Linked DNA regions of Alligator mississippiensis. The protein of the gene in region 1 purifies or fractionates together with the protein of each later gene. This does not show direct contact. Links are inferred from orthologs where the notes say so. Each region holds a gene or a part of one and is shown in the gene's direction. Other genes may lie near its edges. The genes, in order: RNF114 and protein mono-ADP-ribosyltransferase PARP12.

Region 1 (15,273 bases):
CTTTCATTTTTAATTGATGTACAGGTCTAATCTTTACTTTTACAAGCACAATCTCCCAACTGTGGCACATGTAAACTAACAGTGTTGTCTTCCTGGGTTTGCAGTCAGCCTGAAAAATTCAGAAAGGTGAACTTCTCCACTACATATTAAAAGTTACTGCCAACAGTAACTACCTTGATCTTTACAGAAATAAAAGCAGCAGCATTCTGTCACTCGATTAAAAACAATGACAATTAGACTACAGGACACAACTCCAAAGGAAAATCATTTAGGTCATTCAGGGCAAACTAGATTATGATGGGGAACAAGCTGAAACTGGTAGGGAGCTGAATGCTTTAACTCTTCTGTTTTTTTGAGAGATGTATGAAGAAGCAGCTTTGTTTGGCAAGACAAAACATCCTCTGAAGGAAAAAAAAAAAAAGGGGGTGAGGGGGATCCTTCATAAAGACCTCAGGCACTGCGACTTTCATAGCCACCTCCAGCTCCAATTACAACTTGCCACTTGTGGATGTGCCAGGGTTCACTAAAAACATGGCTGCAAATCAAAATATGAAAGACGACGACAACAGATGACAGCTTTCGAGAGCATCTGTTTTGCCTGTTAACATTTACAATTTCTGGGAGTTCAGACTCTAATCTCAACCAGTTCACTAATCATGGGGTGGGTTTCCATAGGTGCTAGGTGGAAACAGTTTACTTTTGACATCTCCGATTAGAGTACTTGGTAAGTACTGTACACAACTTGCCCTTGATTAATACAGCTGGAAGAACAGTGGTAGCTCAAGAGAATTCATCAAAATACAAAGCCCTTTCACTGCAAGTGACTTACAAGATTTTAATGTCTTATGGCTGATCTCTGACCTAGTGAATGGTGGTGATCTTAGCCCAGTGTCTAGCGGACGGACATAAAGAAAAAACATCTAAATCTGGTCCCTTCAATAAAAGTCGTGGCAGGGAAGTCAAAGGGTAGATGTGCCAGAGAGATTCAGTTATCCCCAAGGTAAGACAGGAGCGAACATACGGTCATAGCAACATGAGGAAAACGTACAGTGTGGCTACTTAGGCCATCATCTTTATGCGAGATAAAAAGGATTTTCATCTCTAAAGATTTTGCCATACACTAAAAACAGCTACAGAATTGCACTGAACATAGGAAAACACTCAGCCACAAAAAATGGTTGGGAATGTTAAGAAATCCCAGATGAAAAATGACTAAGAAAAAAAAAAAAAAAAAAGCAAGAAACATGCACGTGCAACCCTTATTCAACGACAACCATTTCCTCTAAAGTATTAAAACCCAGTTCCAAACACATCTGAAGAAGCCTTGCTGGCGGGTATTTGGGTGCGGATTGTTTTTCTTACAAGGAGTGCCACCTTCATGGCTTTCTGCCTCGGCAAGAGCGGTGGCATCCCTCCTTCAGCTGCTCTCGCTACAGCAGGCCAGCCGCTGAAAGCCGGCGTCTAAGGAAGGCAATCACTTCTGTCCCACAACAAAAGCTGCCGTTTCGGATGTGTCTGCAAGGTCTGATTTTGCACACAACGTCTCTAAAGCAGCCGGGCAGCAAAAAAATCCCCCACTCCACAGAAAAGCCTCCCTGCAGCCATTTCTGCCCCCGGCGCAGGCAGCTCTGGGGCTGTTTTAAGGAGGCATTTTTCAGAGGAAGCCCAGACGGAAACCCAGCGCTGCCCGGCAGCCCCGCAGTCCTCCCCAACCGGCGCGCGCGGCTCGTCCCGACGCAGCAACGGGCCCGGCCCCGCGGGGGGGGGGGGAAGTAGCCCGAGTCCCGCACCAGCGCAGGCGGCTTGAGCCCAGAAGGACCGCGGCCGGAGCCGGACAGGGATGTCGCCTCCTGCTCCCTCCCGCAGCCCCTAGTCCCGCTCCCCCGGCTCCGCAGGGAGCTCCGTCCCCCGCTGGCTCCCACCCCGGGCCCCGCCCGGCCGCCCGCACTCACGGAGCGGAGCCGCAGCCACCGCCAGCCGGAAGTCACCCGCGACCCGGATGCAGACCCCGAGCGCCCCCCACAGCCGGAAGTGACCCCTGCGCTGCGCCAGCGGCGAACCCCGGCAGAGCGGCTCGCGCATGCGCGCTTCTCTCTCCGAATCCAGAGAGAAAAAAATCCCGCAACCCCTTCCCCCACCGGGTTGAGCCCCCGCCCGGAAACAGGGGAGTGACAGCTACAACCCGGAAGTAGATGGTTGGGGGATGACATAAGGAGCGTGCCTTCTTTTTATGCGCATGCGCCTTGATGACGTCACGCCGAGGGTGATGTCATCGAGAGGATTTAAAGGGCGAGAGGAGTAGGCACCTATGAGAAGGGTTTTGTTGGCTCTCTTCAGTCTGGGCTAGTACTTGAGCTCTGCCCCTGTGGAGGGGTTTTGGGGTTGCCACCTCTGTAGCAAGATGTGTTGTCCTGCTATGGTGGTCTCTGTGACATGGAAAGGTGCCTTCACATGCAAGAGACAGCATCCCCCTGCATGGGGCAGAGCCAAGGCTCCCTGCAGTCAGGGGAGTGGGGCTGAGAGAGGCCTCTAGAGGTTGTGTTGCCCAGCCCCTCCTGAGGTAGCATCACCCCTGTCCTAACCACCCTATCTAAACCTCCACTAAACTTGGCATAAGGCTACTGTCACTATCAACACAGCACAAGCCTCACACCCCAACCTGCCATGGGTAAGGCAGGGGAACCAGGCAGCCGGTGTCCTGCTTCTATAGGATGTCATTGATACACGCTCGAGATCCTAGGCTGAGGGCCGCACCCCTGCTACACAGGAAGGCAAACCCCCCAGGCTGTACCAGTCTGACCATGGGGTAACATTTTTTCCTGACCCTGAGTATCAGTCTGACCCTGAGCAAAGGGTCAAAAAACCCTCTAGCCAAGAGCCTCTGGCTTTGGTCCCAACAGGAGCATATGCACCCCCCAAAGTCCCCCCAAGCTCGGCTGTAGCCAACACCCAATGCCCAAGTCTTAAACCCCTCTGACACATGAAGCAGAAGGGGGTGGGGGAGCGACTAGTGAAGCCCAGAAATGTGGGAAATACTTAATGGTTCTAAAGTCACGATGCCTTTAAAGAAGCTTCTGTTTTCATTTGTCTTCTGAGTCCTTGGAGGTTCCCGTTGGTCTCATTCCTGATGTGTTCTGCAGCCACAAAAGTTGGAAGTATTTTAATGGAAACTGTGAGTCTCATGGCATTATAGGACTGGCAGCTGAGGCTTTGGGAGAAACATTAAATTATGTGGGAGTTGTCAAAAAACTCTCAAGAATTGACAGTGGGGGGTGATATTTGTTTTTGGGGCATCCATAGCACTTCAGTGTATGCAGTACAGCAGTGATCCTCAGTGCATCTGCCTGTGGGGTGACAAAGGATGTTGCACGTGAGTGGTAGGAAAGAAAAGTTTAACTAGGGCCATTAGGTTACTAATCCGGTTTGAACTCTCAGCGCTCTGGGATTTTTAATGACTCTAAATAGTCAGGTCTTTGTACTCTCATCTGAAAGAGATTAGGCCACTTCCAGCTGCATAATTTCCTCCATTCTCTCCACCTGGTTCAGGGCTGACTCATGAGAAATAACAAATTGCATCACACCCTGCTCTCTGCTAGGTGTTCTTGCATGGCTTCTGTTCAAGTACTAACACAACCCTATTTGAACAGTGAGAGGTAACCATACCATAGCACATTAAAAGGGTAAAGGTGCAACATATTAATGAGATACTTATGTTGTCGGATGGTAATTAAATGTGTGCCCATTAGTGATCATGTTTGGCAACATGTGGGGCATTTTCTGTGTTTCTGCAAGTTTAAATTCCATAGCAGCTGAGTTTGGTCCAGTTTGGCAAGATGTAGACTTTGGTCCAGTCTGGCAAGATCATCAAATTCCACTGAGAGTCAATTCAGCACATAGAAATCTAAATCCCTGTTGAGTTCCAGATCAAACTGGATTAGGAGGAAGGGGTTGTGGTGAATACATCAGCCCAAATCCACAGAAATATTTAGGCTCCCATTCAAATCAGAGAGAGCTAGATACCTATGCAAGACTTAATTGCCTAAATATCTATTGTGAATCTAGCCCTGTGGTTTATCTGTGATTAGAGCTAATGATTTACTTCCTAAGGTAAAAGAAATTTATTCCAGCATAAGCAAGACAAAAAATTAAGTGCTCTTTTAAATAATGCAGGATGTAGCTACTCAGTCACAACAGAAAGCAATTATTGAATCATTATACAATTATTTTATAAACTGATTTAATATCTACTTATCTTGAAAACCACAGAATAAGAGCTGCATTACCCCTTTCTAAAAGGTCAATATTTATTCCAGAGCCAGAGCAGTCTTGAAGGTAAATGAAGGGGAAAATAGAATCACATTTTGCTACTACAAGACACTCAAAACATATGTGAGTAATAACATAATGAATAAAATGTGGACAATCTTCAGTCCTGGGGCTAATGTCAGAAACCAAATAGATTCTGTTTGCCGACACCAATTACTTACACTCTGCTGCTTTAGCTATTTTTAAAAGCATTTGTTTGCTTTCAGTAACATGGGAACATTTACCTCTTGGTCCTCTTAAAATCAGCCTGGGTCTAACCAACTCCAATTTCCTTTACATTCTGCCTGAAGGGAGTTGATTTTTAACCTAGAAGTCTGCACTTTTTCCACTATATGAACCATAATAGGTTTGTTCTTCTACAGCAATCAATCACTTTTTAAGTTCTTAGCTGTGGGTGAGTGTGCTTTATGGCTGAATCAAAGCTGAGTGTTTTGCCAGAACAATGCTGAGTGTTTCTCAGAAACACAGTTGTTCTCTCTGCAGCTTCAGTGCACTGTTTCATATACAGCAAGAGACTCCCATCTGATAGAGCATTTAGCGAGCATGGTATTCTGGAAGCCTGCATCATTTTCATCAGCAGCAATGCAGAAATGAAATCTAACTTACATGATCCAGGTATCAGGAACCATGTTTGACATGATAAAAGCTCATACTGAATTGGAAATATTAAACTTTTGCAACTTAGTCTTGTTGCAGCTGGTTTACAAATTGAAATGGGAGACCATCTCTCCCCTTGGGTGTACACGTGTAATAGGGGTATGACAAGCACAATTGTGATAAAAGAAAATAATTCTTCTGTCATTGGCAGTGCGTTTATGGCTTTGATTTTCTAATACAGCTAGTTTCATGACAACTGTCACTTGGCACAGTAATGGAAGCAGTTGGCTTCACATATACAGAATGTTTTCTTCTTTTATTTTTCCTAATTTACATTCCACACCACCCCCCTTCTCTCTAACTTCGTCCCAACCAAATGTTAAAAAAAGGTTAAGTTAAAACTCATAGAGTGGAATAGAGAACTGGGAAAATAGCTCTGTAATGCAAAACATGTATTGCAGTGACTCTTGGAAGAAGAGAGGCTTCTTTCTTAGATGAAAGGTATATAATTTTTCTATTCATTCAGTCTAAAAAGTTCTCTTCAGTACACAAAGTTTTCTGAATTACTTTGGTCAGTCCTGCATGGCAGAGCTGAAATGGTGTGTGTATAACTGATGGGCAGGAGTACAAGGGAACCTGATTCTGTATTCATAGATTTCATAGACACTAGGGCTGGAAGGGACCCCGGAGGATCATCGAGTCCAGCCCCTTGCCCCAGGAGTAGGAAATCAGCAGGGATCATAGGATCCCAGCAAGATAAACGTTCAAATGTCTCTTGAAGGCATTCAAAGTATTAACAGGGCTGTTGCATGACCGACTCTTGCCTGGTAGGATGAAGGCAGCCACAGTGTAGCTCCTTGGACACTCATTGTTCCCTGTGCCACTACCTCTTTTTTTTTTTTTATCCTGTACTGTATAAGGATGCAGGTATGCAAAGGATTTGCCTCTTATTCTCGCCCTTGAAACAGAACTACTTTGGACCTGATTCAAATCTCATTGAAGACAATGGGACTCTTTAGACTAGCTTTCAGGTCAGCTTTCTATACTTAGCACTAGCACCCACATATAGCTTCTGCTCACACCTGGAGTGCAGCACCTTATGCTTCCTGCTGAACAGTGCAAAAGGACTTACAAAATCAAATCCTAAAGCATAAGGTGACTTGCTGTGAATAGTAGCCAATATCTAGTATTTCAGGGGAAAATGAAACCTCAGTCAGTATTCAGCATGGGGAAATTAGGCAACTAAGCCAGGAGGTATGAGATTTGGAGATTCATATTTTAGCAGCACCACAGATATTTTCTGGCTTGTAAAATCAAGATAGAGTTTCAGTCCCTGTTGCTGAAAAATAAAGCAATTTATTAGTGGTAAGACACATGCACAGCTAGGTGAAAAGGAGCTCTCAAAGAGTAGTTATCAATGATTTGTGGATGCAGGGAAAGCAGTTGGCATGATATAACTTGACTTCAGCAAGGCTTTTGATACCATCTCACACAGCATTCTTGCAAGCAAGCTAAGGAAGTATGAGCTGGATAAATGCACTGTAAGGTAGATAGAAAGCTGGCTTGATCGTCAGGCTTAACAGGTAGTGATCAATGATTCAATGTCTAGTTAGAAGTCAGTATCAAGTGGAGTGCCCCAGGGGTCGGTCCTGGGTCTAGTCTTGTTCAGTATCTTCATTAACGATCTGGAAGATGGAATGGATTACACCCTCAGCAAGTTCACAGCTGACACCAAGCTGGGGGTAGTAATAGGGTAGGTCTAGGATTTAGAGTGACCTAGACACATTGAAAGACTGGGCCAAAAGAAATCTCATGAGGTTCAACAGGGACAAATGCAAAGTCCTGCACTTCGGTGTTACCAGATTTGCCCATCACTTTGGGGTGTGCGCATTTATTAGGGATACGTTTCTAGGGTCTTTGTAATTTAATTAATATGCTGCTTCTGTTACTTGTGTTTCTATACAGAGCTGTATCTTTCCCTTCTGCAGGTCCTCACCCCCAATGGAGCTATCTTGTAGGACTCAGTTTCAAGGGTTCCTCCAGCCACCAAATTCATCAAATACACACACTAACGTGACACGCCTGACCCGGCCAGGTTGATCAGCATGTACAAGCTGACACCCTCATATACCAGGAATCAGTTCATTAAGGTAACAATAAAGTGCAGGCAGACACAAGCACACAGGTGAACAGAATACCTCTGAATCCGGCTGGGTGGCCAGCTGACACCCTCATGGGCCAGCATTCAGTTCATTAGGGCACATCTGAGCCAAACTGGGTCAATCAGCCTATACAAGCTGATCCCCTTATGTGTCTTAAACTCAGCACATCCCAATCTTTTGCCCTTACTTTCCTAGCACTGATAGCCTCTTGATGAGCAGTGTTGCTGCAGAGCAAGTGGGGAAGGGGAAGCAGAGAAGAAAAAATACATCCAGTTACCACTAGTTTGACTATAAAAGTTATTTATTGCTAAGTATATGAAATTTATGACGGTACTAGTAGTAATAGACATACAAGGAAAAATGAACAAAAATGATTACAATATTACCCTGTTTTAATTGAGTATTTGGGGAAACCTAGCTCAAGCTTGACTAATAAAATTCAGGTTCAGAAAGCTATGCCTAGAGAGAAAAAGAAAGAGAGAGCGAGCGCGAGCTGGGATCTCACCGTTCCAAGGCACTTGGGCGGTTTGTTGACAGGCAAAGTTCCTAGCACAATAGTTGAAAGTTAAACAGGCGACCGAGAGATGATCTGTTTCTCCCAGCTTCTCAAGAGCAATAGCGGATGGTGTCAGAGAGATTATTCTCTCTTGAAGCACACTGCTGCTTTACAGCTTTCTTGTACCCTTATAGTCCAGCTTCTTCAAAGCATTTGTTTAATTGTGTAAATCAAGAGGGTCCCAAGCCATCATTGACAGGGAAAATCCTGTTATATAAGCAGTTTCAGTTTAGATGAATTACCTTTTTCAGTGACAAGGGATTATCTGGTTTGGAACATCTCCAGAAACTGATTAACAACCAGGAAAAACATAAAGTTTTAAGGAGTAACCAGACACGTAGGAGCCAGCTTGAAATTATTATGAATATAGAAGATATACTGGAAGGGATACCACATTGTTTCTTCTCAAATGGCCTAGCTATGCTTGTACTGTGAAGTCAGCATCAGTGTTTTGTATTTTACCTGTTGTGAATAAGCCTCAGCTTCACATGACTTTCAGATCTTACTGTAGTCTTTTAACGTACTTAAGGGGATTACTTGGAGAGTTTATAAACTTTGTGGGGAGGACTTGCACCAGTCATCTCAGGAAAAGTATGACAGCATTTGTGCTCAGGGCTCCAGTGGGCTGGACCCTGTGAGGAACCCTTAACCATTGTTCAAATGTTGCCTGTACCCTCTCTGACTCGGTTTCTTGCCTCAGCATTCCCTAACCCGGCAACCAAGTTTTAGTCAATTAAGTTTAAATAGACCTCCCATACTGGGACCTGGGAATGTACGGCCAGAGATGCCTATTCAACTTTTCTTCTGCTTAGTTTTGGTTAGATGAGGGGTGGGGGGGGGGAATACAAAAAGTCCTTTGTAAGTCCAGCAAGCTGGGTGCAAGGGCTCCCTCAGGAACACAGAGCTGACAGGTAACATAGGACACAACAATCCCATGCATCGCTACAGGCTTGGGACTGACTGGCTAAGCAGTGGCTCTACAGAAAAGGACCTGGGGGTTGAAATTATGGAGCAATTGGCGGTGCATAAAAGCATAAAACTCATGACAAACCATCCACTTAACACCAACAGCCCATCTCAGCCCCCCCAAAAGAGACAGGATAGGAGGCTGGGGCTGCAGCAGTCGCTGAACCCAGCCAGCTCCACACCGCCCTCCAACACGGAAGCCCCGCCCCCTCCAGCGGCGCTGGGCGGAGCCAACTATTTTGCTTCCCCCCCCCCGCGAGGCCCAGAGGCGTGGGGAGGAGCTACACTTCGCGCATGCGCGTGGCCCTGTACGGGGGCGTAGCCGCGCCGGCGCCTGCGGGCCACCGTCGGCGGTGGGAGTGGCATGCGGAAGTGCTTCGCGGAAGTCAGGCGGCGGAACATGGCGGGGGCGGACAACGGCTCCCGCTACCCGGCCGCGGCGGCGCCGCAAGACCCGCTATCGCGTTTTCTCTGCCCCGTGTGCCTGGAGGTCTACGAGAGCCCCGTGCGGGCGCCCTGCGGACACGTGTGAGCGGGGCGGGCGCTGTACGAGCGGGCGGGGGGAGCGATCCACCGGGGCGGGGGCCGGGCAGCCCTGTGCGAGCCGGTCGCGCCCTCTCGTCCAGTGAAACCCGTCGCCCAGGGGTGTCCCCCCCACCCCGGGCCCGTTTACCCCGCGGTGTACCCCCCCCTGCCCCGCAGGACCTGCCCGAGCCCGGCGGGGTGTGCCGGTGCAGGAAGGGGTGGGTTTTGTTGCCAGTTAAGTTTCGGGTTCCTGTCATGAGAGAGCCCCTGTGTTTGCACGGCAGCGCGCCCTGCCCTTTGCCGTCCTCGGCTTTTGTTGCTCGCGTGGGATGTTTCTGAAGCCCCAAACCTTCCAGCAGGAAACACTTTGGCCATAAATTGGCCGGAGCACCAAGGGACGGGGCCGCACCTAACATTCACGATAGCTGTTTTGTTCTTGAAACGTAGCCCTCGATACCAGTTTGTCCCTTTTGAGTGTGACATAGGTAGGGTGAAGGTTTTTGATGTGCGTTGTCCCTTGTGACTTCCCTTTCGTTATTGGCCAAATTTAAGGTATATCCGTGAGGGTCTCGTTGGGAACGGTGCAGGCGTTTTCTACAGCATGCGTTTTTAGAAACCTTGTATTTCTTCCCTATTAGTTTTTGCGCTCCATGCCTGCAGGAATGTCTTAAGCCGAAAAAGCCAGTGTGTGGAGTCTGCCGTAGTACCCTGTCTCCTGGCAGCACAGCTCTGGATCTGGAAAAACAAATTGAAATGACAGAAACTGCTTGCAGTGGCTGCAATAAAAAAGTATGAAAGCATTTAAAAACTTCAGTACGCAATTCCCTATTTAGCCACACCTGGAAAATAACATTTTTCTTTTCAGCCTTCTGGAGAGTCAGCCATCAAGATTTTAATGTTGTTAAATAATGCAGAGAAATAATGCTTGGTAGCACACCAATGTCCTCTCCTCCTCCCCACCCCAGCCGTGTCTTCTGTTTCTTCCTTTGAGAGGTGAACTTCAGTTTGTTAGCTGATTACTTGCCCCTTTATTTGAAGTATGCAGCAAACATGCAATGTAAAGATGTCATGGGAACTTGTGCGCGCACATTTCTGCAGGGAGAATGCTGTTTTATAAATGCAACGTTTGTCCCGGGAGAAATCAAGTGAAACCTGTCTGGAGAGTCTGTTGGACTGATTACTGACAGAAGCACCTTTCTGATAGAGTTATTTGAAATTGTATTCAGTATATTTGGGGTAGTTTGCTATGGTGGTGCTGCCTGGTATCTGGTAAAAGTCATGTCTTCTCCAGCTTCTGCTGTACAGATAAGAGTCTAATGCTGTGGAAATATGTAAAATGTAGACATAAATGTTATCCTTCCATGATATTATTAATACAGAGCCCAGACTTCAGACGTTGCAGCGTAGAAATTATAGAGCACTGCTGTTACGATGGCAGTGCTGTAAAAATAACAAACATTGATTATCTCCTGATTACTCTGCTACGTGACCAATTGACTTTTTGATAGTCAGCATAGCTTAATAGCTAACATAGAACTAGCTTCCACCAGATAAAGCTAAAGCTAATTAGTTAAAAATCCTTAACGTGATAGGGTTCCTTCTAGATATACCTTATACAAATTCCTACCAACTAAAACTTTTTTTTTTTTAATTGTATGGCTTGCCTTTCATGCTGCATTTCCTGTAACTTGGGTCTAGCCAGTTTCACTTTCGTTTCTAGGCAGTTTTGTTTTCTGACTCTTGGGTACTAGAAAAAATGCAAGTATTCAAATTTGTAAAAAGGTTGATTTGTCATAAAAGAAAAAACTGTAGCCTCCATATTTTACTGTCTGAATAAAATATAAACCCTCCAGATTTACCACTGTTTTCTACCAGAGTCTGCCACACACATTTGTCAGAGTTCTGGAAAGCATCAGTATTCAAATACCTTCAATTCTTATTTAGTTATAGACCTCTTACTAGGTTTCTTTCTCAGTTTGACACTTGTCTTATCAGAATGAATAGAGAAACGAGTTGCTAAATTTAATAAAATCTTCTTATATACTCTTTGCAATTAATCAGAATAACATTAGCAGTAGAGGTACACTGATGCATTGGCTCCCTTACTGCAGAGACCTCAACTGTCTCCCCACCACACCCCTTCCTTCCTCCCTGCTTCCCCCCCCCCACCCCGAGCAGACTTACCAGCCAGACGCTGCTCTCCATGTTGGTGGGCTTCATATTAGCAGTCGGATCAACATTGGCCCAATATGGCTCATTAATAATTGGCCATCAGTATCACCCCCAAAAATCTTTATTGGTGCACCCCTGATTAGTAGGACATATCAATACTAACATTTTGTTTAACAAGGAATCATTGTACCCTATGAGAGGAAGAAATGGTTACAATGTAAGCTTGTGATCATAAGTATTTTTCTAGCACGCTTAATTTACATCTGGCCTAATACTCTGTTGTGTTTACTTTTATACAATATATTGGCTAATGATTCAGTAGCTTGTCTCTATTTGAGCCCATAACAGGGAAGAATGGCAGGCAGAGCTGGAACGTTGGCTTGGTTTAGTACAAAGTAGAAATTAGTTTATTTTCCTTTTGATGTAGAGGGGAAAAAAAGCAAGAATTATGGTACTCGGGTGAACAGGGAGTCTAAACATTATATTATATCATAATGTATCACAAGTAGCATGTTAACCTAGTGAGTAGCTTCTGTTCAGAACAGACTGCCTTGTGCCACAACATTCAGTTTTCCTTATTTTAATGTTCTCTGAACAGAATGTTTTCTGATTCCTGTGATTTGTAGTTCCTGTACTTAACCTTAATAACCTTCACATTCTGTCTCTTGTTTGCGTAGATGTACCTTTCAAAGTTACGCAGTCATGCAGCTTCTTGTTCAAAATACCAGAACTATATAATGGAAGGTGTGAAAGCTGTAACTAAAGAACCACCTTGTAACACCAGGTATTTCTGTTTCCAGTCATTTACAGGGAGGTGGTTGGGTAAAGATTTTTGATGGTGGAAGTTTTAGTTAATGCCAAAACTTGCTTTCCTGATTTGTTTTTATACGTTTTGGTGCATTTGGTGTGTTGCAGGCACTTTCTTGTGCAGCATGTGAAAGTACAAGCAAAGACTGTTAGATCTTCATTTAGTCTAGGGGGAGTAGTTCTTTTAATGCTGTATTACAATTAAACTAGGCTCTAATACAGAAATGATATCGCCCAGGTGCACTGCTCTACTGACTTAAATTGCCCATGCACAAACTATTACAAGATCAGGGTCCTGGGTAAGGCTATCTACGTTTTATTTTAGTTTTAAACTTGTTATTCTGTCTCTGATTAATTACTGAAATGAAATGAGAAATGACTACATTGAACTGGTCACCCATATTGTAGACTGTCTGGCAAACTTTCATATTCTTCACAAAAATGGTGCAGACCAGGAAAGCAAGCTGAACTTGATATTTTTGTAAGGGAATAACTGTAATTGCCAGATGTATTAACTTTGCCCTTTGAGATGTCATTTCTTCACTGATAGAAAAAACAAGTTCTTAAATTCAGCTTGCTCATATATCACACAATAAGTGGTGACCCTAAGTGCTCTTTATTTAAATATTCTCTCTCAAATTACCATGAGTAGCCAGTCTCTCATTAGGTATTAACTTTCTAAAATGTAAACACAATCTTTTTTTTTTTTTTTTCCCCCAGGAATGTTCCAAATCGCTTTACCTTTCCTTGTCCTTACTGCAGTGAGAGAAACCTTGATCAGGAAGGACTAGTTGAACATTGCAAAAAGTACCACATCATGGATGCAAAACAAGTGGTAATGCTTACAGTATCAGATTCAGTATAATGCTGGTGTTGCAGAAATATGCCAGCAGCCTGAAGCTAGTTTTAGCATTAGGTCCCTCGGTGATTTCTGCTCGGGGACCTTAGACACTTAAGTGTATGCCTGATTTTAAACTGCAGGTATTCCTTTTGAGTTAAATAGGACTATCCTTGTGAATAAAATTGTGTGTATACAAAAATGTTAATGTTTGGATATTACTCTTGTTTTGAAGATCTGGGCAAATTCAAAACACGCTTCTCGAGGAGTCTGTGGGGAGGTAGACAAGTTTTCAGAAAGATATCAAAGCATCTTTTAAGTGCCTATGCTCGCATTTAAAAAAACGTGCACTAAACTAGCCATCTTAACCTCTTGAAGCTACAAGTAATGTTGGAATGAAATTTTGACATCCAAGCCTTTTATGTACCATTCCCTAAATCCTGAGCAAAAGTATATAACACTGTCTGATGTGTAAACTTTTTAATATTGTTACAAGCATTTACACAGATCTTTACCTACAGATATGGCAGTAAGTAGAATAAAAACAGCAAAACTTGAATTTGGCTCTAACAATTAATAATTGGGGTGTAGTTTTGAAAAACTTCTCTAGTTTTAATTTACAAAATCACAGTCTCTTTTTCTATGAAGACATCAATATGTTCTACAGGAGTGTTGGTGTGCAGATATTTTATAATCTGTAGAAATGAAGGTTTCTAAAAGTATTTTAGAAAGCAAACTTAGTTCAGTATTTTGCCCTCCACGAGAGGGAGGCTCAAACTACCAGTCTTACTTCAAAGTCACAAACTTCTGAATTATGTTAATTCAGTATCTGAGGAACCAATTGGTTTATGTAGTGTTCTGTGGCTTGACAAAACACTCTCAATTCATTTTGCATACAAAGTGAAATTCTGGTTATATGAACTGTGTTCATAAGCTTCACAATCGTATAGAAGCATTTTTTCTGTTTCTTTGGCACTTTCCTCTCTCAATGTTTTTTAAATTGGTTACTTAGAGGCAAAGACCCTGGACTTCAGGAGGGAAATATGCGTGCTAAAAATTGCCATGAAATAAGAAAGGCCTCTAAAGAGGTCTCTAGTTCTGAGGGTGTGCTTCCCAGCTGAACATGAAGGGAATTCAACATTGGCTTTTGTGGCTTTTTTGAAAGGTTTGCCCAATTTGTGCCTCAATGCCATGGGGAGATCCCAACTACAGGAGTGCCAATTTCATGGATCATCTTCAGAGGCGGCATCGGTTTTCCTATGATACTTTTGTGGTATGTAATTCCTTATAAAACTCTTAGAATATAGCAGAATGATTGCTGAGTTTGTATGAAAGTGTAATTTAGCCATTCATGTAGATACCATCCTATTAGGGGCAATGTATCCCTTTCTGGAGTTGGATAAAATTCTGCTTGCTTTCTGTTGAAAGTCTGATGCTTCCTAAACTTGTTAAATGTTTGTAATGGGTAAACAGTGAAATCAAGTGAAGAGTCTAATGACTTCTGCCTTTTCTGTCCTTAGGATTATGATGCTGATGAAGATGATATGATGGCACAGGTTTTGTTACGGTCCTTGAGGGATAAATGAACTAAGTAGGAGAAAAACTGTAATACCAAGCTTCCATTAGGGGGAGTTCCCAGCATCCCTCACACTTCTCCCTACACAGTCCAAGATGAACTCAGGCATCCAAAAATAAATAAGGAAGATTTTTGAAGAGTCCCAGTCTCCTGGCCTCAGCTCCTGATCTTACTCTACATGTCATTGCTTAACACTATCAAGACAGGTTTTTTTGGCTGCTCAGCCATGTGAGGCTAGTACTCCTGCTCCTTTCATGCTAAGTTTAGCCAGTTGTCTCCTCTGTATTTCTGTTGCCTCTTTTCATTTTCCCCACCCTTGTGTCTGTCTGCTCATTATGTCCATTCTTACTTGATGAGAACATAAGTGCTACCAGAGGAACTGCTATTGAGAGGGAACGGCCTACACTGGCAAGTGAAGATTATAAAAAAAAAAAAATAAAAAATCTTATCTTTATGCTTCCTAAATGTTGATCAGATACCCTGGCATTTTTGGTCTATGGAAGCTGTTAGTCTGTTAGATGCAACTGTCAGAAACTGGTTTGCATTTGAGACTGCCTGGAATGTCTGTGATTTACACATTCTTTAGCAGCGTTTCTAATGCTGGTAGTTGGTCTTTTAACTAAACCTAGTACATTGCCTCAATGATGAATCTTTAAAACTTGTATTTTCATTGTAGTTCTGTTCATCTGCATAAGAAACTTGTTCATAATACCTGGTTCAGTACCCGCATGTTATGTACCAGCTTAAA
Region 2 (15,243 bases), on another chromosome or scaffold:
CTGATATCTGAAGATGTAGCTCTGGCTAGTGTAGTAGATATACCACTAGCTATTACAGTTTCTATAAGCGGTTGCAAAATCCCTAGGGAAAGCCAACAGCTCCACAGCCTGGTTCCTCTCATGTATTGCATCAAATCTCAAGTTCCTGGTCTTGGCTCTGTTCTAATGGTCTTGGCTTTTGTTGTAAACAATGTATAGTGAGTCACTATGAAAATCTTTAAAAATGGTAGATGACTACTTTGTATGTGGAGGTGTATCACATAGTGCAGGAGTGTCAAAGACATGGCCCATGGGCTGAATCCAGCCCACAGAGCCCTATCATTTGGCCCACAGTACTACCTGCGGGTCTTGGAGTTGACCCATAGGCAGCATGCAGGATGTGCTGGATGGTCCTGCAATCTATACATGACACCTGCTCCAGCCATTCAGGGGATGTGCCACATGTGGTGCCCAATCCAGCATGTTGGCTCCATGCCAGATCCAGTGGTTCATCTCAGAGAAGCCTCCACGTGTAGCATGGCGCTGGAGTGGTGGAGTGGCCACCCCATGCAGCATGACCCCTGTGGCACCAGATGAGTTTGACACCCCTGACATAGTGCCTTTCCACAAATAATATATGAAGAAAAGAGTTTACAAAACCAGTCAGTTGGTACAGCTGAAAACAAGGTTAACCTGAATTTAACATAGCCATCTGGATAACCATTCGGTTAGCCCAGTCAGCCATTCCCTGGGAAAACATTTTCAAAGATTCTGCTTTGGAGATATCTCCAGGTATGTTAAAAAAATATTCTTGAATTTTCAATGAACTCAGATGTTGAAAGATGCTCAAATGAGCTTACAGATCCATGTAGTGTATTCTTTCACCTTCTAAACTAGACAGTGGCCCATGAAGTTAGATTAGATCAAAGCTAATTGTCCTACTCTAAAATATTTAAACTCATAGTTTATACTTAGAATCTATGCTGTTCTGCCACTTTTCTTCCCTAAAATAATTTTTAAAACCTTTGAAAAACTCCCAGTATCCATATTGGGGAGAATTAATTCTATGTCTATTAATTATAAATGTCCTGTCTAGGAAAACTCCCTATCTCATGGAAGAGCTTAAAAAAGGAAGGGAAATGCAGTCACTTTCATTCTATTATAGTGGAGCTGGGGGGCTTCAGAGACTCAAATTCACTGAACAAACATAATTGATTAAAAATATAACACACAACTGTTTCTTCTGCAATTGCTGTTCAAGCAATAAGGAACATACAGTTGTAATTATCCATAACCTTATTGGGAATGTATGATTACCAAGCTAGTCATTCAGACTTGAAGATAGCATAAAGTATATCATTTTCATGGTGCAACATTTCAGTCCTTAAATAAGATGTTGGCAGAGTCATTCATTGAAATTGCTATCACTAAAGCCCAGCTCCTGTTATAAACAAAATGTGGGCTGACCCCTGCAGCTGTGCAGAAATCCACGCGGGCTTTTTGTGCAGAGCCTATTGTAGGCTCAGCACCCAACGTGGTAATTTGGCCTAGGCATAATAGATCAGATGGAATTATGTTACAGTGATCTTTAATAAAATAAGTAAGTATCCTTACCTTTATCTTCGGTATGTTGTAGGTGAAGAAGGCATTAGTTGCTTTTTGTCCTCTTCGACTAGCACATAAGCAATTCTTACACTGGAGACATTGGATTGTTATGAATAAAGACATTTTTCCTATTAGCACCAAGTACTTCTAAAGAGAAGAAAATATAATGTTGTTGATTATATGTAATTCATACTTGGGGAAGTTATGTCAAATTGAAGAGGTACTTTTATTTTTTTCTTCCTGAGGAACATGTTTAAACTTGTGTGACTACTTCTATTATAATAGGAACAAGCAATGACTTTTGGCATGTGTATGAGGGAAGGGGAAAAGGCCATTTTGCAAACTGGCAACCTTCTTTACGTTGATCTTTGTCTGTGTTGATTTGTCTTTTAATTGAATTTTCTGTGCTTGTGAATGTTGCCAGGCTGATAGTTTTGCTCTTGAGCATTGGGAAAACCTCCATGTAGTCAGAGAGTAGGGACAGCACCGGCAGCAGCAGGACGAACTTCCCTCAACCAATATACTCCAGGAACCACTAGCTGTGGTAAGATAACTCAGTTTCAATGTCGGTTTCTTTTTATGCTGTGCTTGCTGAGGAATGACGTCAAAAGTTTTAGCAGTTTGGTGCAGTTGATATCAATCTGCTACTAAATCCCCACTAGCCCAATGAGTTAAGGGATTTGAGATTAGGGAACCTCACACTGTGTTGACTGGAGAGCTTTAATACAAGAATGTCCAAGACATGGCTTGTGGGCCATATCCAGCCCTTGAAGTCCCATTGTCTGGATCCTGGTGATGTCCCTGGGTCTCAGAATTGAGCCACATGCTTCATACAGCATGCACTGGACAGGGCCCACATATAGGGCCTGAGACACAGACCATGTGGTGTCCAGCCAGTCATATGTGGTGCTCACTCTGGCTAGTCCAGGACCTATGCTGCATGTAGCATCCACCCCAGCAGGTCTGGGGCTGATGCCATGTGTAGCAAAGGTCCTGGACCAGCTGGAGCAAACACCATATGTGGCTTGGGTCTCAGACTGGCTCTGCATAGGTGTCACATCTGGTATTATCCTAGACTAGCAAAGATGGACAGACTGCACTGGATCTAACATGCTGGGGGTTCTTTGGGCCCAGTGTGGCCCAAAGGACTGGCTCTGCACTGTTCAGCCAGTCTGTGGACCAGCCCCGTGGCACAGGCCAGATGAGTTTGATATCCCTCCTTTAATACATCAGAAATGCTCTAAAGTAGATATCTAAGGTAGATTCATTATGGGAATCTATGCCGATAACTTATCAGAGTAAGGCACAGTGGTGGACATTAGGGCTGTGTGAAGCTTCGGTCCCTGATTCGATTCAGTGGCCAAATCTCTGAATCCGAATCGAATCAAAGGACCCTTTAATCTACCCAAATCGAATCGGAACCCTCCAAATCGATTCAGAGAGATTCAGAAAGATTCGGAGATTTGGACATAGACACAGCTTTAAATATTTTTTCTACGTACCTCTAGGTAGCAGGGGCTCATGAATGCTGGGGTGCATGGAGTGCCCCACAGGAGTGTGGGGGGCTCCCCAGCATGCTCAGCAGCAGACCTGGAAGTGGACCAGAAGCACTTCTGATCCACCTCTGGGTCTGCCAGAGAGCATGCTGGGGAGGCCCCCACATGCCTCCCTGGCTCGGTGACTGGTGCCTTCTGGATCTGGGGTGGGGGCACCTGGGGTCCCCCCACAGCTGATCACCAGGTTGGGGAGGCACGGGGAGACCCCCAGCACACTCCCCAGCAGAATTGGAAGTGGACCAGAAGTACATATGGAGGGCCCCCCAACACTCCTGTGGGATGCTCCAAGGGCCCCAGCATCACAGCGATCATGAGCTGCGCTTGCTACCTCAAGGTATGTAGAAAAAACTTTTTAAGCTGTGTCTATCTCCGAATCACTGATTCTCTGAATCAGCATAAAATCTTCAGAATTGGATTTGCCCAAATTGAATCAGGGACAGTGATCCGAATCAACAAATCGAATAACTGTCCCTGATTCAGGCCGAGTCCGAATCGAATAGGGCCCACTTTGCACACCCCTAGTGAACATACACTTCACACTCGCTTGGAAAGGAAATGCTTTTGGTAGTTGGCAGGATAACTAAACGTGTTGGTGATGTAACTGAGTGAGCTGGATGGGAAAAGAGCTAGGGAGTGGGGCGCCTGCCCAGTGGGATTGGTGAAGAGGGTGTGAGGTGGTATGGTGCCAGGCTGGGTTTGAGGATGCCTAGGAATTGGACATGGGTACTTGGGTGTTATGACAAATCTTTGGGCCCCAGCTGTTTGTCTAGCTTCTTCTGCCATCACTTTCTTGTTCTCACTGGCTGAGAGTGAACACAGGAAGCAAGAGGTCCTAAGAGGCCAGGCAGAGAGGGAGCCTGCAAAACAGATGCCATGGCAGATCTTGGTAGAAGAAAAGGGGTGTAGACCCCAGGTTTTTGCTCTGTCCTGCTATTCCAGCAAATGAATTGTCAGGCATGAGCAGTTGAGGCTTGGTTAAGAAAAGCCTGGAAGGGGTGAAATTCTAACTTCTAGCCTACTTTTCTATGAGTGAGCATGTGTAGTTGATGTTTGAGCTTTAGCAAGAAAGGTAGTGTGATTGGCAGGTATTTGAGGCCACAGGCTTGAGGTAAAAGTGAGAAATAAGTGCTGTTGAGTGAAAGATTGTAGTAGTTTGGATGAGTGGCAGGTTCTATCACCAAGGGGCCAGGAATATTCACTACATGATTGGAGGATGCAAACATGATTGGAGTATACACTGAGCATTGGACCAACAAGTCTGTCAAGCAACAAATCAATCAAGAAATTGGAACCTATGAACTGTTGTTGGAGCTTGTGCAACAAACAAAGCTGGAGAGGTTTGGACACATCGCAAGAAGACCAGACACTCTTGCCAACACCAGAATGCAGGATGCTGTGGAGGGAAAGAGAAAAAGATATAGACCCAAGAAAAGCTGGGGAACCAATATTAAGGACTGAACAGGGCTTCAACTGATAGGGTGCACAAAGCTAGCCAAACACAGGCAGAGTGGAGGAGGGTTGTTACAACATCTAAGGCAGCTAAACAGTTGTAGCAGCCTTGGGACTGACTTGACTTGACTTGATTGGAGGATGATGAGGGGGTGAGTTACCAAGCTCCCACTGATATAAAATAACACAGCCGAAGGATCTGGGGGTATGTAGTGTCTCTGTCTCTCTGTGTGAGTCTCTGTGACTTTTAGTGCATGTATGTGCACTTGGATCCATGTGAAGAGGGTGAATGAGAGTGGTGAGAGGTGCGTGCCTGTATGCCTGAGCTCTATGTTCTAAGTCTGTGAAGCTGTGTTGAGCTGTGGAGTATAGTTGCTGCTGTGTGTTGAATTGTTGGTCTCTGTGAGAGTGGCTAGATCACTCCAGGGCCAAACCAGTATTGCAGTCAGATGCAGTGTCTGGACCGTATTTTGACTCCTTGTGGTAAGGGAGGGCATGATGTCTGAAGTCTAATAGTCAAACTGACTGGTGAGACAGGTGGCCTCAGCTACTGGGAGGCTTTACTGAGCTGGTCACTCACTCCCTCACCACAGGGAGTCACAAATATGGTCCAGACACTGCATCTGACTGCAATAATAGTCTGGCCCTGGAGTGATCTAGCCAGTCTCACAGGGACCAAAAATTCAACACACAGCAGCAACTATGCAGCTCAACACAACTTCACAGACTTTAGCAAGTATGAAATGACTGCGCAGTAACCGCCAGTACCATGCAGTCCCAGTGCCGCATGGGTCATTTCTGACTCTACTGTGCAGTAGCAGCGAGCTACTGCACAGTAGTGCCGGTATCACAGATTCACAGAAGCTTAGGGCTGGAAGGGACCTTGTGAGATAATTGGGTCCAGCCCCCCTTGCTCTGGACAGACTGCTGGGGTTAAATAACCCCAGCAAGATGTGTGTCCAGTCTCCTTTTGAAGATCTCCAGGGTAGATGCCTGTACCACCACCACTGGGAATCTATTCCAAAGTCTGGTTACATGAACCATGAAGAGGTTTTTCCTTATATCTAGCATGAAGCCTTCTTCTAGGTGTTTATGAACATTGCTCCTGGTTTTCCCCTGGTGCGCTTTGGTGAATAGTTGTTTGCCTAGCCCCTGATGCTCTCCCCTGATATATTTGGAAGCTGCCACCAAATCCCCCTGAAGTCATCTTTTGTAGGCTGAATGGTCCCATACCTGTCAGCCTTTCCTTGTATGGCTTGCTCTTCAGGCCTATAATCATATGAGTGGCTCTGCTCTGGACTCTCTTAAGCTTCTCCACATCCTTCTTGAAACATGGCACCCAGAACTAGATGCAGTACTCCAACTGTGGCCTCACCAATTCCAAGGAGAGCGGGAGAATAACTCCCCTAGTTTTGCTTGAGATGCATCGGTTGATGCATGCCAGCGTATTGTTCACTCTGCTAACTGTGGCATCACGCTGGTGGCACATATTCATTTTATGGTCAATTATGACTCCCAGGTCCCTTTTGGACGTTAAGCTAGCTGGTGTAGCACCACTGAGCCTGTAAGTTTGTTGTGGACTTTTCCTCTCCAGATGGAGCACTTTCCACTTCTCAGTGTTGAACAGCATCTGGTTCTGGCTACCCATCTCACTGATCTGTTTGGTTTCGCCTAGATCATCAGCCTACCCTGATGCATGGCTGCACATCCCCAGAGCTTAATGTCATTGGTGAACTTTGCCAGTGCTTTTCACCCTCACATCCAGATCATTGATAAAGGTGTTAAAAAGCACTGTTCCAAGTACCAACCTCTGGGGGACCCCACTGGCTACCTTCCGCCAGGTCAACACAGATCCATCTATTAGTACTCTCTGGGTCCGACCTCACAGCCAGTATCCCATCCGTCTAACTGTTGAATTGTTGAGCCCATAATTCCCTAGTTCAGGGGTCAGCAACCTCTGGCACACGTGCCAAGCATGCTACGCAAGGCCATTTTGCTTGGCACACCACCACCAGCCTGGGCTCTAAGCAGCTGCTGCCAGCCATGGAGCCCAGGCTGCTCCCAGCTGGGAGGCTGCAAGCCCTGCTGTAAGCACATCAGGCTCCGTTGGCTGACTGTAGTCGGGAAGCTGCAAACAGCTGCTCCAGGCTCCAGCATGTCAGCACTCTGGCACCTTCCAAGGTAGACATTGTGGTTTTTTCAGCACTCTGGCCAAAAAATGTTGTCTACCCCTGCCCTAGTTTTACCTTGAGAGCCTCATGGGGCACCAAGTGAAAGGTCTTCATAAAGTCCAAGTAAATTACGTCAACCTCATCTCCCTTATCCAGGTGGTGAGTAACCTGGTCATAGAAGGAAATGAGGTTAGTCAGACATGACCTACCCATGACAAACCATGCTGGCTGTTGTTCAGAATTTTGCCTTCTACTAGTTTATCACATATGGACTCCTTGAGAAATTTTTCAAGGATTTTTCCTGGGATTAAGGTCAGGCTGATCAGCCTCTGGTTCCCTGGGTCCTCTCTCTTCCCCTTCTTGAAGATGGGCACAACATTGGCCTTCTTCCAGTCTTCTGAGACCTCTCCTGAGCACCACAAATTCTCAAAGAGGTTCACCAGTGGTCCTGCAATGACTTCAGCTAGTCACAGTTCATGCCTGCTGATGTTGCGTCCCTGTAGCTCATCACTGCAGTGACATAGTGTCTCATGTAGACGTAAAACATAACATAGAATGCAGGGGCCTGCAGGGCAGTGCAATATAAAAGAAGTGGTGGAGGGAATGGACTTGCTGGGCTCCCCTCAGGAAAAGCGAGGCAAGGCACCTGCAACTGGGGGCCCCCCACCATGGGGAACAACAAATTGTCATACAAGGCAGTGGCAGAGCGGGCACATAACAACAGCAGCAGTTCTCAACCAGGGTGCCCTGACCCTTTGCGATGCCTTGAGAGCCTTCGAGGGGTGGTGTGGGTTGCCACACGATGTTACAAAGCACACACGACTCCTGTGATAAACCCAGGGAGTTTCAAGAGGAATTCCTAGGTGCCAAACCTTCTGGCCTGCTGTGGGCCGAGTCCTTCGCAACAGCAGAATTGCTATAGTGTTTTTCTGCAGTCAGAAAGCAAAGGAAAGCTGAGCCCTGGCCTCTTCCAAGAGAGACCCCTCAAGTCTAGTCCACCTAGGCGAACCTCAAGTCTATTGCGGGGGAGGGTGATTTTCCAGTCTAAAAGGTTGAGAACATGGCCTTAAGGACAGCGGGGAGAGTGCTGGGACCTGACAGGCCTACTTGACACATACTGGGAATTTGGCATAGGTGGCAGAAAGTCGGGGCTAACAGGGCTTAGCCCCCACAAAACTAATTTTGTGGTGGCCAGTGACAGCGCCACCACCACGCCTCGCTGCCACAGCACTGCACCCAGTGCCCCCACCGTCTGCTCTGCTGCCACCGTGCGTACAGCAACAGTGCATGCCCGGGGTGGAGAGCAGAGCGCACCAGATAGTCCCCACTGGCCCTCCAACGAGTCCAAGGAGCCGGTGGACACTGCCCAGTAAAACTCTGCCTGGAGACGCGAATGGACCAGGGACAGGAACGGCCCCGCAGTCCTCGGAGGCTCCTCCCGGCCAGAGCCTCCTTCGTGGTGAGATGTACTGCCAGCATAGGCAGGGCCGGGCTCTTTGATATGCCATGGGGACCAGCCAAGTAAAGCTATAAGCCCCCTTGGCGATGGGGGCCACTAGGGGCCTAGCGCCCATTCCTCGGGACAAATAAAAACACAACGGGGACGGGAGCGAGGGTTTCTGAGGCGACACCAAGCTGAGTGCACTGGACAAGCACCCCAGGACCTCGCACGGGGCCAGTGGATGTTGCCCGGGGCGTGAAGGGACCAGGGACAGGGGACCAGCCCGGAGCCTGCCTGGTGCCTGGCTGCAGGGCCGGGGTCTGGCCGGAGGCTGGGCACAGCCCGCCATCCCCCCCCCGGCGGCGGCGGCAGCAGCAGCGGGCGGGCGGGCGGGGGGGAGGCACAGAGCGCGGGGCCGGGCTCGCGCAGCCCTTTCGGTTTCGTTTCCCCGGGCTGGGCGCCGCCTCAGGACCGGCGAGAGGCGGCGGCGCGGGGCGATGCGGCGGGGTCGCGGCCGAGCGGGAGCGGGAGCGGGGGCCAGCCGGAGCCCCTGGCGCGGGCCGCAGCGCAGCTTCCCGCCGCAGCCGCAGTCGCCTGCGCGGGACTGGCCCGGCACGGCCGCGCTGGCCATGGCGCTGCCGCCGCCGGCGCCGGCCGGGCTGGGGGCGCGGGCGCTGCAGGCGCTGTGCCGGGCCGGAGGCTGCCTGGAGCAGGGCGAGCTGCAGCGGCGGCTGGCGGCGCCGCCCGAGGAGCTGGCGCGGGAGCTGCGGGACGCGCGGAGGTTCGTGCTGGCCAGCCGGACCGGCCCCGGCCCCGGCCCCGGCCCCGTCGTCGTCGTGGTGGCCGCCAGTGCCGTGCGCCTCTGCCCCGAGCCCCTGGCGGGCTGCGCCGGCGCCTGCGGCCGCCTCCACCTCTGCAAGTTCTTTGTCTACGGCTGCTGCCGCAACCAGCGCGCAGGGTGAGCGCCCGGCCCCAGCCCCCCAAACCCCTGGGCACCCCCAGCCCCCGCATACCCCCAGGCACCCCAAGCCCCTGGTACTCGGGGGCACCCCAGAGCACCCCCAGCCCCAGGTACCCTGAGACCGTGGTGCCCCCCGCCAAGGACATTTCCCCCCAGTGCCCCATCACCCTGTGGGCTAGGACCCCCCCCCCCCCTTCGGCTTTGCCCCATGCTGCTGGACATCCTGGGCTGGCCATGACCTGCCTCCCTAGGAGGCCTCCCTGACCCCTCTGCTCCCACCCCATGCCCCCCAGAGCAACTGTCCCTAGGCACGGGTACTTCCCGCCCTCCTGCAAGGGCCCCAGGGGATAGCAGCCGTAGAGCCGGGCGGGGCACCTTATCAAGCCCTGACTTTGTGGCAGGGTTCCTTTAGGAAATGGGCACCCCTTTGTGTGGGGAGATCCTTACTTTGAAGCCGATTTAAATTTATTGCGGGATTGGACAGTTAAATCTGTTGCGTGATTCGCCAGTGAATGTCACGATCATTACTTTGCACAGGGCCAACCTAAATTTAGCGTGTGATTTGCCAGTGAATGTCGTGACCGTTGCTTTGTAAGTGAGGCTGGTCTAAATTTATTGCACAGTTCACCAGTCAAATTTATTGCGTGGTTCACCAGTCAAGTTTATTGCACGGGTCATCTGTGAACGTTGTGATCGGGACTTTACATACAGGGTTGGTCTAAATTTATTGTGTGATTCACCCGTTAAATTTATTGCGCAGCTCTCTAGTAAACGTTGTGATTATTACTTAGCTGGTTGGGCTGGTCTAAATTTTTTGCAGTTTACCAGTGAATGGTGTGATCGTTACTTTGCAGATGGGGCCAGCCTAAATTTATTGCGCACTTTGCTGACTAATGGTGTGGTCATTAGTTTGCACCGGTCTGGATTTATTGTGCAATGCATTGGCTAAGTTTATTGCACTATTCGCCAGTGAATGGCATGATCATTACTTTGCACGGGTGGCCAGTCTAAATTTATTGCGTGATTTCCCAGTCAGTTGTCACATATGTAATGTGTTGCAGGGGACGTGGGTTGCTGTTTGGTAGGTGAGCACGTTGCTCAGGGGTTCAGTGGTTATTAGGGCTGTGTGAAATTTTGCCAGGTGTTTTGTTTTGAAGCTGTTTCAACAGGTTTTGAGCTTGAGACAGCGAAATCGAAATGAAACAAAAGGCTTCAAAACAACTTCAAAAAGAATTGAGGGCACTTGAAGCTTGGCTTGCTTGCACCTAACAGAAACTAAGGAGAGGGAAAGGGAAGAGTGGGGGGAAGGACTGCTCTAATATTGACTGTGTAGCTGACAAGTGATTGTAATTCTTCCCTGAGGTCCCTTCCAATTCCAGTGCTCTGGAGGGATGGAAAAACAGCACAAAAAGCATTGCTTGAACTGAGGTTTCTCTGTGCCTTCATGCTTACAAGTGACATGAGTTTTTCTCTGAACAGTTTGAGGTTCAGTTTCCCTCAAACTCCTGCACCTGTCTCCTTGAAACTTGGCAGGTTTCATGGCCTCATAAGGGGGCTGCCATCCATGCTCTTTTCATTTGAATCAGGAAAGAAATGACAGAGTTACAGGCATTTTTGTGATTCTCTATTATAGCCTATGTACGAAATGTCAAAACAGCAAAACAGTTTTGATGAAACAAAATGGAACAGTGCTTCAAAACAGCGAAACAAAACAGTGTTCCTTCGAAACAGTGAAATGGAAGTCGAAACGAAGTGGTGCTGTTTCGCACAGCCCTATCGCTGTTTCCATCTAGTGCAATTCAGCTCTTCCATCAAAGGGATTCAGAAGGCATGTCATATGAGGAAGGCTACCTGGACATGTCTACAGTCTGTACCATAAAGTGGGGGGAGACCTTTAACAACCGAGGGCAGAGTTGGAGTAGAGAATAAGGTTCTTTACTTTCAGATGTGAGGGCTTCAGAAAGTTGGAGACCTGTCAGGTTGCCCACTTTTTACAGGTGGGATGGTTGCTGGGTGCAGCATGAGGGTAGTTGCAATTTTTCTCCTGTCCATTTTGTCATTTAAAGTGAACAATGGCTTTTATTGATGTTGATAGTATTATAGAGGCATCTGTTACACTAACCTTGGGCAGAGGAATTTGGAAAACGGGATGCTTGCTGGTTTTTGTCTTGGCTTCAACAGTTACAGCCCAACTTTTCACTGTATCTCCTACTCCCAGTTTTTGCTTTCAGGGCATTTCCTGGAGTGAAGGTTTCCCGTAGGGGCTCAGTGTAGTACTAGAACAGTTCTCAGCCTTTTTTGGACTTGCAGCACCCCTCAGGACAGCCCTTCTAATAGTTTCCTCCTGGAATAAGCACTGCTTTGTCCCCAGCTGGAAAAAAATGAAATGTCTGCTTGATGTGATTTAAGCCATAGAGTGTGATATACTCAGAATTATGTATTTATGTAGGCCACATAGTCCTAAAGGTACAGAGCAAGATAAAATAGCTCACATGCTTTGCAATGATTGTGTAAACCATAGAAGAGAGAGAAATGCATTGCAATTGTGCAACTGCATTTATTGAGAGGAAGTGAACATGCTTAATTAAATTAATGTGTTGCACCATTTTTGAAGAGAGCTCTGTGTAATCAAAACTTATCAGATAAAAACATAAACATTTATTTTCAGTAGATTGCTAATACACTTCTGGATACTAAATAAATATTTCATAAAAAGCTTCACTTACAACAAGGTAGTTTGCTGGATTGGGTGACTCTTCATCAGATACCATTAGATCTAAGGAAGTAGAGTGATTCTAAAGAGGATCTAAGGAAGAAGGGCCCTTATAAAGAGGATGAAGATAGCCTGTTTGCTGTCCCCACAGGGGACAGGACTAGGAGCAGTGGCCTCATGTGCACCAAAAGAAATTTAGGTTGGATATGAGGAACAACCTGCAGACTTTGAGGGTGGCCGAACATTGGGACAAGCTACCCAGAGAAGTTGTGGACTCTTCATCCCTGGAACTTCACATGAGCAGGTTGAACCAACCTTGGGCTGGGATGGTTTAGTCAGTGATGATCTTGCCTTGAGCAGGGGGCTAGACTAGATGACTTCATGAGGTGCCTTCCAGCTCTGCTTTCCTATGATTCTAAGCAAACTTAATTTTTTGCCTCAACTCACCATTTCCTGCTTGATATCAGTTATTTCCCTTCCCAGTCCACCCTACTTTCTTTCTGAGCAGCTAGCAGACTGGTTTGAATTCTGACCACATTCACTGGTTTATTCACATGGTTTGATTTACACTGGTGGTTGTGGCTTTAGCAGATCACTTTCTGCCTGCTTCATGTGAATGTGCAATTTATAGACTAACTGTGAATGGTGGCCATAATATGGTGTGTGTTGTTCCTGTAATATATTTTTAAAGCAGTGGGAACAGGTGGTATATACAGACAATCTAACATTAGCATTTTTATGTAGAAGCTACAACAATGAATCCATAAATAAATAACCAGCAGCCAGGTTTATGTCCGATCATGCATTTTTAGTTAAGATGAAGGTGAAAGGTAGCCTACCAGAGGAAGGGGTGTAGTTGAGTAAAGGACCTAGAATGAAGTGTGGATGGATGATTGACTCTGAAAAATTATTTCCTTGTTTTTGGGGGTTAAGTTGTAAGTTGTTTTTTCCCCGCCCCCAAATACACTTGTACTCTTCCCTTCTTGCCCACTTTTGTTAGAGGTCTTATGTCTTGTTTGCCCCTTGCAGAGATGTTTTCCTCCAACCCTGTTACTCTGTTCAATGGATCAACAGTATCCAAACCACAGAGTCATTGGATCTGGCCTGCGGAGCTGGGGGGCTCCACTTGCACCAGTCAGGGGATGGAGAAGAGGTGGTGAGGGCAACAGTGGCAGGGCGGAAGCATTGGTTTGCCTTGGATGCAACCTAAATTGATCTGGCCTGCCACTGCAAAACCTTGCTGACCCCTGCTCTGTCTTAATTTGTGCTCAGCCTAGGTCAGGGGGTGGCTACCTTTTCCTACAGTAGGCTGTCAGTCCTCTGCTGCATCCCAGCTCTGTGAAGGACTATGATCTCACCCTCCTCATACAGCTTCTGAAAAATGTGTCACTGAAAACTGTGGTCAAAGACAATGCTGAGTGGTGAAGCCAGCAGCAAGCAAACAGTGAGCAGAGGCTGCAGTGGGGAGGGGGAGGGAAGAGCCCTTTGCTTTGAGCTGGAATCCTACAGAGCCCTCCGCAATATGCCTGCAGCATGGGGTTGGCCTCCAATGTGGAATGCGGGCTGGATTCACATTCATACTCTGTGGCTTAAATCATGTATCTAATCCAAGAGGGATCAGCATGCCATTAGTAAAACACAGACTGGATCATGAGCTGGATCCAGTCTGTGGATCTCTGCCTACATCATTCACTGTTCACCTATTAGTTGAGGAGAGGAAGGAATAAGGTAGCATTTCAGACAGATCAGTAGGGAGAGCAAGTTTTATATAAGCAAGGTGAGGAGCATGAGAATGCTGTGTGGACTGAGTTTAGGGAGAGAACACCAACTTTGTCATGTGCTCCTTTCCTTAAACTTGTCTCTTACGGACTGCAAATATGTGCGTGTTGGGGAGTTTGTCTGACTGCACCCCATTTACGTAATGTCTTCTGGGTGAGAAAATTATACAGAGTAGAGCAGAATACAATCTTAATATTTGTTTACTTCTGAATACTCAAAAGATATTTCTAATTCCTTATACTAACAACACAGTAAAGTGTGTGCATGCTTGCAGGATTCAACCTAGTGGGGGAAAAATGCTACTAGCACAGTAAAATTGTCTGAGGACTAGAGGCTTGGTTAAAGCGCAACAAAAACAACTTAAAATCTCCAGTGCAAACATGCCATAATTTAAAAGTAATCTTCAATTATGCAGTCACATTGGGCATCATCACATGTGCTCTGGAGTGGGGGGCGAGGGGTGGTGCTTTAATTAGAGCGGCTCTCGGGAGCATCTCGTGTATTCAGCATCCTGCACTTCAATATGGTGGCCGGGGCAGTTTAATTAAAGCTCATTCAATGAGTTAAAGTGCCCCTGCCACCATTTTAAAGTGTGGGGAGGCTGAATACATGCGATGCCGAGGCTGCTTGTGCGCTAATTAGCATGCTCCAGCAGGCTCGATCAATCAAGTCTGCTGGGATGTGTTCTAAATCAAACATGTTGGAGCAGGCATCAGGCACATGCCGTTGTGCTCAAGACACCGATAATAGGCAGCAAACATGCAGAACCACCAGGATTGTTTATATGTATGAGGCACTCAGGAAATTCCATACAGAATTTGAATATTTCATATTGCTCAAGTTTAGGACTATAATGTCAATGGGTGATTTGGAAATGTAGACTGTTATTCTTGCTCCTTCTCTATTAAGTGAATATAATTACCAGGTGATCTGGTATTTATAAGCACTATTGTTGGCATTCTGTAATACTGCCAATGAGTTTTCAGTAATTATGGCAGTAAATTGGAAATGGTATGGTAATGATCCTCTGAGTAATTTTTCTCTGAGACTAGTTAGTTTTGTGTGCAGTATAAATTGTTCAATCTAACGTATCTCCTCTAGTGAAACTATGCTGATTCAGTTCACTTTCTTATGTGTCTGGCTTCTTAAACATGTAGGAAAGAATGCAAATTTATTCATAACCTACGATCGGAGCATAACTTACCTGTTCTGAAACACCATGGGCTTGAGTGCTTAAATGATGATGAACTGTGCCAACTTCTGCTTCAGAATGATCCTTCACTTTTACCTGAGGTAAGCACTACTGCAGAATTTGCTGCTTCCTTTACAGTGTGTGTCACAAAAGAAGTAGCATTGAATCATAAAGTTGGACTGGACCTCAGTGCTCATCTGATTTTAGCATTTGCTCTTTCCTAGAGCTGGCTAAATCCAGATATCGTACAGTTACATCCTGTGATGAGGAAAGTAATAAACAACTTGAGCCCATGTATATTCTTGTATGGACTTATCTTCACCTACTCTGAATAATTTCAGTAAAGTCAATGAGATTACTCATGTTCTTGAAGTTAAGCATGTGTAGGCATGTGTAT

Evidence for each region.
Region 2: the proteins of RNF114 (region 1) and protein mono-ADP-ribosyltransferase PARP12 purify together in Homo sapiens (affinity purification with mass spectrometry; 3 studies listed by BioGRID and IntAct, counting the BioPlex papers as one, with this or other methods). This does not show direct contact. The link is inferred for Alligator mississippiensis from reciprocal best matches to the Homo sapiens genes RNF114 and PARP12.

What each region holds. Positions count from the first base shown.
Region 1 is NC_081832.1:13,430,502-13,445,774, reverse strand, and holds the start of RNF114 (E3 ubiquitin-protein ligase RNF114), read left to right. Parts: upstream 1-8,971; coding exon 8,972-9,135; intron 9,136-9,770; coding exon 9,771-9,921; intron 9,922-11,981; coding exon 11,982-12,088; intron 12,089-12,831; coding exon 12,832-12,946; intron 12,947-14,114; coding exon 14,115-14,222; intron 14,223-14,469; coding exon 14,470-14,535; 3' UTR 14,536-15,273. UniProt on the Homo sapiens protein: E3 ubiquitin-protein ligase that promotes the ubiquitination of various substrates. In turn, participates in the regulation of many biological processes including cell cycle, apoptosis, osteoclastogenesis as well as innate or adaptive immunity.
Region 2 is NC_081827.1:107,906,779-107,922,021, forward strand, and holds the start of protein mono-ADP-ribosyltransferase PARP12, read left to right. Parts: upstream 1-8,657; 5' UTR 8,658-8,698; coding exon 8,699-9,159; intron 9,160-14,811; coding exon 14,812-14,947; intron 14,948-15,243.